Linked DNA regions of Caenorhabditis elegans. The protein of the gene in region 1 interacts with the protein of each later gene in a pairwise test. Each region holds a gene or a part of one and is shown in the gene's direction. Other genes may lie near its edges.

Region 1 (5,139 bases):
CTTCTGAATCACTTTCTTAAAACCGTACAATTGACATTGTCTTTTGTTTTTTCTCGTTTGGTTTTCTTGATTCGTCATGATTCGTTTCAAATACAAAACCGTCTCTTGCTTGCTACCAACCGTTTGTCCCATTTTTGTTTTTTATGATGAAAGCGAATTTTATACAGTATGATGCCTCTTTTTTCGAATATTGTAGGAAATTTTGTTGGATACTTGAATTGATTTTTAATAGAAAGTTTTCAATTGTTCATGTTCAAATCAATTATAAACAAAAGGCTTGGACCAAAGATAACTACTTCCTATGTTTTAAATTGAAACCAATAATCAAAATGAAGGCGATAATTGATTTTTTATTTTTATTTTCCGGATTTCGAGCGAGACTCAACTCTCAAACTCAAACTCGCGTCATTAAGATAAACGAGCATCTACACTTTTGGTTGCAAAAACTGCAAAAAAATTTTTTTTTAAACTATTTCCCAATTGATAATGCTTTCAAGTACATTTAAATGAACGTCTTCAAATATCAGCAAGCAAATTACAGTAACATTTCAATTCATGTTTATTTAGTTATACCAGAAAAAGTGCACCTGCCATTTACGCACTGTTTTATGGATTGAATCCATGACTTCTAGGCAGGTAGGCATGAAGTCCGAAATCTTGCTGCTGACTTGAATGAATCCCTAAACGAAAGCTGTCAAATACTTGAAAGAACACATTTGTATTCTTTTTTAATGTGCTTCTCGGAAAATTTTGATTTTTAAATGTTTTCTGCTACACTACGAAAATTTTCATAATATTCGCTAAATTTGCACGTGTTCAGTGAGCCTAACAACGCGACATGTCTACAAATATCTAGACACGAATGTATTTCTAACATTTGAATTTTTCAACTTCTTATGAGAGAAAGTCTTATGAGAAAAATCAAACGATGAACAGCTGAAGCATAACAGAAAATAAAAACATTTTTTCATTTCGACTATAGTTATAATTATTTACCCACAATGCCTGATTTCTCGAATTTTCATATTTTTTGTTCTTCTCTAAAATCTCTAACAATAGCCAAAATGTAGTCTGTTTTAAAGTTATTATGCGAGAAGCTGTGCACATATCCCATCTCGAGCCCCTTTTGTATGCACACTGCTGAGCATCAGAACGGACGGTATGCTGCACATCCCTCGTGACTGCGTATAATATCCACCCGATTTTTGTGTGATTAGCTGCAGAATATCGTATATCGAGGCGCGTTTTCCATTTGTGGCGATAATGCACATTTTTACTGTTGAATTCTCTTTTGAGGCTCCATAAACCACAAATAATGCGACGATCGTGTATTACAAATGTTCGACAACTGTGATTTCTCTGATTTCATCTTACTGTAGAAATAATTTCAAACTTCGCGCACAAATGGATTTCACCAGAGCGCACTTGCTGTATTCTTCGGTAGCAAATTTTTTCCAGCGAAAAGCATTTCGAAAAGCCTGTAAGCTTTCGTGAAATGAGATAATTTTTCGTGAAAAACGTTTCTACAATTTTTATCAATTTATTTATTTCAACATCTTCAAAAACATGTTACGTTCTTAAAAAAATACCTTTTAAAATTTACTATTAGCGAAAAATTGCTGAAAATTTTTGTTTTCTAAGATTATTTTTGTCCCGATGGTGTCGTCGTCACAACATCTCATACATATATACAGATAAAGAATAAAAGCGAATCCATTAGATTGGCGCATTTGATTTCTCGTTCAATCCGTCCTTTTTCTGCTGATCTTTCACGTGTCTCCTGCCGGCGGCCCCGCCCATTTTCTCATACTTTCAATTTTCAAGGTCCTTTTGTCAGTTCAGTATTCTAATTTTCCTCGTTCCTCGATGGCCTTCCGGTTACCTTGCTCTTGTTACAAAGCTCTCGCGAGCAAACTTCAGCCCGCCTCTTTTTTGAGAACTCGACTTGTGCTCGCCTGCTCTCTGTTGAGCTCAATTTATTCATTATTCTGATCGCAATTTTGTTTCGAATTAATAAAATTAGAAACGTCAACTATTTTCAGATTTCTTTCAGACATCTTCTATGGAATGCCGCCAATCAATGAGCCCACAGCGACGACAACATCAGCATCGTCGGTGTGGCAAGGAATGACACAGGTTTGCATAAAAATTGAATTTTATAAAGTTTAATATCAAATTTCCTATTAATATTAAATAGAATTCTATAAAATTTTATGCTTACAATAAAAAAATTGATTTTTTAAATTGTATCGTAGTCTCTGGCACAACGCAGGTAAATCGTTGCGAGACCAAGCCTTCCTTTGAACCATTTTCTTCAACAAATTGTTTCTTTTTTGTGGTTCCCTGCGCGCACAAATTGTATTTTTTTTAGTCGAAAAACTTGTTTCTTTGAAGAATTCATGAAATTTAATAATTAATTCAATAAAATATTTTATTTTCAGTTAAAATCTCAAGTCGACTTGATCAATATCGCTCGAGGAATTCTCTCAACCCCCGCAACAACATCAACATCATGTCTTGACATCCAGAATTCGACACCGATCATCGGTTCGTTGGCCTCCGGGAAATCCCAGACGCCAATTCTCACAGCGACAATGACTCCACAAATCGGTACGGTAGATTGTTATTGTCAATCAAGAAAAATGGGGGAGAAATGCGCGGGAGAAATTGAGTCGTAGTTCGCGTAAACAATTGTTGTTTTCTCTGAAATATTAATCAATCATGCTCGTTTTAAGGACTCACTGGGCTTGGTTCGTTGACATCGTTGCCTCCAGAACTTCTACTACAGTTCGCTAGACTGGACGGATTCAACTTATTACCGTGAGTTTTTTTTTCTTTTGAAAATTCAAAATTTTGCCGAAAATAGGCAGTTTTTTGTATGGAAAAAAAATTGCAATTGGAATTCAAAAAGAAATAATCAAAAAGTTGAACCTTCCGAATTAAATTTGAATTTTGATCTTTCATTATTATCTTCGCTCAAAGTCTTGTGCTTTGATCCATATCTTTCCTCCTGCTCTGTGACTTTGTACTTTTCATCTGTCTGATTTCTGCTTGACAACGCTGGAGTGTCTGATAAATCTAATCAAGCTGAGCAGCGCTATTTTCTTAAAAAATGTGATGTTACATACAGAAGAGACATAGAGTACATTGCTAATTCATAAGTTTAGAATAAAGAAACTCAAAATCAAAGAACAAAGTCAAATAATCCTTCATAATTTTAGTTGGTTGCCCTTGTCATTGGGAGCAGACTTCTCATATATATATATAAATGTGCATGCGCGACAACGGAAATGCAAGTAAAAGAGCATTGAAACAAAGATCCGTTGTATGTTGCATGACACATGAGTAGTGGAGAGTGTGGGAGAAAGGTGCAGAGTACAGCTGACTGGCATGCTCCTGTCGTTGAAATGTGTAGAAATGAAGGGATTTCTGTGCTGCAACGTTCCAGAGATACTTGTTGTAAGAAAGCTTCATTGTAATCATCTTTTCTCGACTAGACTGAAGTTTATATGTGCACCTGAAGCAGCTCTATTTTACAATTTGCAACTCACTTTTCTATGATTTCTAAATTAGTCGATGTGATTTTTCAATTATAAGATCAACGGGAACAAGTGGTGCAACATTATATTCAAGTTTTAACGGATTTATATAGCAACTTAATCAAGCTATTATATAAAAAGTCGAACACCAAATTGTTAGGTCTTCCGTCCATCGTTTAAAGCCCGAAGTCCTTCATCCATCCCCAATTGTCCGTTCCGCCTGACCATCGAAACAGCTTTGCAGCGCTCAATGACAGCAGATGCGCTTCAAAACAAACCGATAATAGGAGGAAAATTGAAGGGGTCAGAAATAACCCGCCTTGGTAGATCGGCTCCGTTTATAATTCCTTCCAAGCTAGCCGGCTCTCCGTTATTACTTCTTTGCCTCTTCCGTATATCCGAAACAGGTGGAAACTCTCGTCTCATTACCAACTCGTCGACTTTCTCTTTACTAAAGCTTTCCTCCTCTGACCCATCTTGTGCTTAACTGCATAATTTGAAATTCCCAGACTGCATGAGAACTTTTGCGTTGATGAGTCTCGTCTCTTTTTCTGCAAGGAAAAAAACCACAGAGAACCACACACAACGAGAAAGTTCAAAGGCTCAATGTATCATTTTACGTATTTCTCCTTTCTTTTCTTTCGCTAGCGCACACTTCAACATCCAAAAGCGCCACGTGTTTGTGTTTCGGGAAAACAGAAAACTGTGTGCTATAGCAAACTCAATACCCCATCACCGGAAACTTTCCGGTTTATCATCGCTTTTTGCGGTTTTTCTTTCGTGCGCCTGCCTGCTTGCAAAATACCACAAACTCATGTGTTATCGGTGTTGGCCTACAACATTTTCTATCATCATTTCGATGTTTATATAAAGATTTTTTCAAAAAGAAATGCATAGATCAGGATCGTGTTGATTCCAAAATGGAACTAGCAGGCTTTTGTCGTACTTTAGAACCTGGCTTATTGCCAAAATATTTCTATTCAAGTTGACAGCCGTTTGCTTTCGATTATTGTTCCGATGATCCCCATTTCGCCCTATTAAATGTTCAACATCTATTTGACAAACTCTAAAGACTACAAACTACGGGCATCTAGAATAAAGACGTTATCACTTGTTCTATTGTCCAGAAACTGTCATGTGAATATCTTATAAATCTCGTTGATCTTCAGTGGAAAAGCTGAATGAGACTAGTGTGTTAGAATATTGAAGTGATCTACATTAGATTGTTAAAATCTGCTGAAAGCCTACAATTACACATTTCAAAGCAGTTGAAATTAATTTCGCCAGTTTTATTTTGAATGGTGTTCATCGTGTAATCATTCGGATCGTTAGATCAAAACGATCAATTTCAGCGAATAGTCATGATAAAATGGTGACTTAGAGTTATCAGTTTGTGTTTATACTATAAACAACCGTTTGTGCATACGCAAAAATCGACTTTCGACTGTTTTAACTTCTTGTACAAAGATCGGGTTCACGAGGTGGCCAACCGTTTGTATTTTTTCGTAGAAATGACCTACAAACTAATAAGTATTCACGGACTCTTCTTCACTCCTGTGCGTAGTGTCCTTAGAGTGTTTGTCAATCCCTCGGTTTCCAC
Region 2 (3,001 bases), on another chromosome or scaffold:
AAGTCTAGAGTGGGTGTGAATAACACCTAATGCATGCATTAATTCATGAACAGCAGTTCCAAACTGAAAGTTTATGTGATTGAGATCTGTCTATCATTCTTTCGGTGTGCCGTGTTTGGAAAATTTTCGAGTTTTGAAAAATTGTTTTCTGTACCTGTCATCGAAAACTTTCCAAAAAAAAAAAACATTTTCAATGCATTACAATTATCTTGACATTCCCGGTAACTTCTGGTCTAACTTTTGACCTCAACAAATATAAAGTGATACGTTTTCCTTGAATCACTTGAAATGAATGATTGATTTAGTTGGAAATAGTTTGCAGTTTCTAGAAAATGCCCACCACTACCAGAAAATAATCCACTTTTTTCACACTGTTAAGGCAACACATAAACATTAAGTTGGTCGTGAACGCCGAGAAACGGAAATATACATATGTATGTCGAAATGAAAGAAAAACTCACGTCTATGCACGTATCGTTAAATGTTAGATGTTGTACTATGTTATTCATCCCAATGTATGATGAACAGCCTTTACCGTTAACAAGTTGGACCCTGTTAGGAATTGAACAGTTTTCTTCAAAAGTCACGCAAGTTTGTGAAGATATGAAGTTCATGGAGAAAAGCATCAATTCTCGCTTTTCAGTACCTCAAAGTACATGTTTATAAGTTGTATTTCACTACTTCAAAATATAATAGAACTTACTGAATGAAGAATCAAAGCAATATAATAATTTTGCACTACTCGGTAGTTGGCTCCTCCTGGGGCGCGAAGGGGGTGCGACTGGCGCGCGAAAAGAGGTGAAATGCGCCTGGCGCGAGGATAGGGCGTGACTGGAGTGCGGAACAGGCGCGCTCGGATTGTGAAAAGAGTATTCTGAAACTGCCAAAGTGTCTACATAAGATGTATTAATCAATTTCTTGCGAACATATTATTGCTTTGAGACATATTTTCACACAAAAGTGAATTGTGTTTGTTCTATACGTTAATTGTAAACGTTTTGCAGCCATGCTAGTTACTGAAAAACCAAAACTTCAATTTAAATTCTGATATGAGGTTAGAAGAGAACAATATGGTTCATCTTACAAGGAAATTGTATTAAAATCTATCAATAATCGTACTGTTATCTAATGATGTTACGTTATAAAATATGTTCATTTTACCTATGCAGATAAAGTTAAGGCGATGTCTTGAGAATGTCTCCATTAGGAAACTCGCAGCATTGGCATTGTGGAGGCACGATGCACACATTCCTAAGAAAGTTGCCCCTAAATGCCAGGTATATTTTCCAATAGAAAGATATAAAAGATATGTGTAGTTTGTGTGAACATCTTCAAACTAATTTTCTAGATCACATGTCTCGTTGTTGTATTTTATACGTTTAGTATTGTGGCACCATATTACTGAAAGCTGAAAGAGACTAGATTGGCAATTATTATATATCAACTACATCATTCATACATATATAACATATAAGTGAAGAGATATATATATATATATATATATATATATATATATATATATATATATATATATATATATATATATATCAACCTGTTTTGGCAATGAGGCTGTCTGAAAGTAACAGGTTCGCGAAGAGAAACTGTTTTTGCACGCCGTCCGCGTTCTGACCGCGCCCCATCCGCGCCCATTCCGCACTCCTTCCGCACCCCTTCCGCGCCCCGTTCGCGCAACACGAACGACAATCCGTCCAAAATTGGCTTATGTTCGAGAAACACCACTTCTCGATGAGCAGCCTGCGGCTCCTGCTATTCCAGAGTGAATAGAATGAGATTAATGAAAGTGATTTATGGAATGATATAACTCTTGATCAAAAGTGTTATGATATTATCGAACAGATCAACGAACTGAAGGCTCGCCGCGATTTCTACGCAAGATTCTACACCGAGCCCGCAGAATTCATCAAAAGCTGGGTGATGAGCCAGAATTCGGACCTGAAGACTATGAACGAGCTGAGCGGGGATCTTGAAGCCGAAAGATTCGCTGAATCCTACGTGAGACCTGAAACAGAGGAAGGAGTTCAAAGGTATTAATGTTTTTCGGGGGTTCTAGAAATTAAAAAGTTTTTTTTCAGATACATGTTCCAAAAGGTGAACCAGAAGCGACATGAATTGGAGCAAATCTTGGTGTTCGATCAAATTAAGGCTCCATTGCCAAAAAAGAAGAAGTATGTGGACTCAAAACAGGTAAAGAAAAAACGAATTATTGCTAAAGAAAACCAGCTAGTAAAACAATGTAAAATATTAAACGAATAACAAAATGACATATAGGAAACCATGAAATGATAACTTTGAATTAAATTAAGTAACAAAAAATTGATGAGACTATTTTTGAGCTTTGAAGATGCGAAGCTACATATTTGCAAATACGTAGCTTTTGATCAAAACATTTTTGAAGCAATAGGTTGCTCTAGTTGCCGTTTCACGGGCATAATTGTGTAAGTCTATTTTTAAAGATATTTCATTGATTTTTTCAATATACTGACTTAATTAAATAGATTAATTTGAGCTTTTCAGAGAGGATGATGATCAGCAACACCAGTCTCCCGCCGTCTAGGGATCAATTGGCCTGCAGCCAAGCTGTCTTCAATCTGTTAATTTATTTTTTAATTGTTTTTCCATTGTTCGTTGTTGTAATAAATGCAATTCTTATTAATCTAAGATTTCAATTTCAATATGAAAATCGGCGGGAGCGAGAATAAAATCGAACCGGGCGCGTAGTGTGTGCGAAAGAAATGCGCTCGGCGCGCGAAAATTGTGCGACTAGATCGCGAGACAGTAGCCTAGTCGCGCCCCGTCCGCGCGCCAGTCGCACCCTCGTCGCGCGCCAAGCGAGCCAAACTACCGAGTAGTCCATTTTTGAGAAAATGATTCAGTTGCGATTTGTCTTTTCTGCCGGTTTTTCGTTTGTAAAATTAAGTCGTATTGCCTTTTGGTTAGCATAACATCTCCATCAAACATTATATTTTTTGTCAAGCTTGGT

The links.
Region 2: the proteins of nhr-66 (region 1) and K03B8.4 interact in a two-hybrid assay, tested with the Caenorhabditis elegans proteins (one large-scale study listed by BioGRID).

The regions. Positions count from the first base shown.
Region 1 is NC_003282.8:8,233,506-8,238,644, reverse strand, and holds the start of nhr-66 (Nuclear hormone receptor family member nhr-66), read left to right. Parts: upstream 1-2,062; 5' UTR 2,063-2,067; coding exon 2,068-2,136; intron 2,137-2,441; coding exon 2,442-2,610; intron 2,611-2,735; coding exon 2,736-2,820; intron 2,821-3,630; exon of another isoform or gene 3,631-5,139. UniProt on the Caenorhabditis elegans protein: Transcription factor. Binds to regulatory elements and regulates transcription of target genes, including the potassium channel accessory subunit mps-2. Negatively regulates transcription of mps-2, thereby modulating age-dependent memory decline.
Region 2 is NC_003283.11:11,394,059-11,397,059, reverse strand, and holds K03B8.4 (uncharacterized protein), read left to right. Parts: upstream 1-1,935; coding exon 1,936-2,045; intron 2,046-2,093; coding exon 2,094-2,274; downstream 2,275-3,001. Other genes in the region: Zinc metalloproteinase nas-18, read right to left, coding at 1-63, 462-626.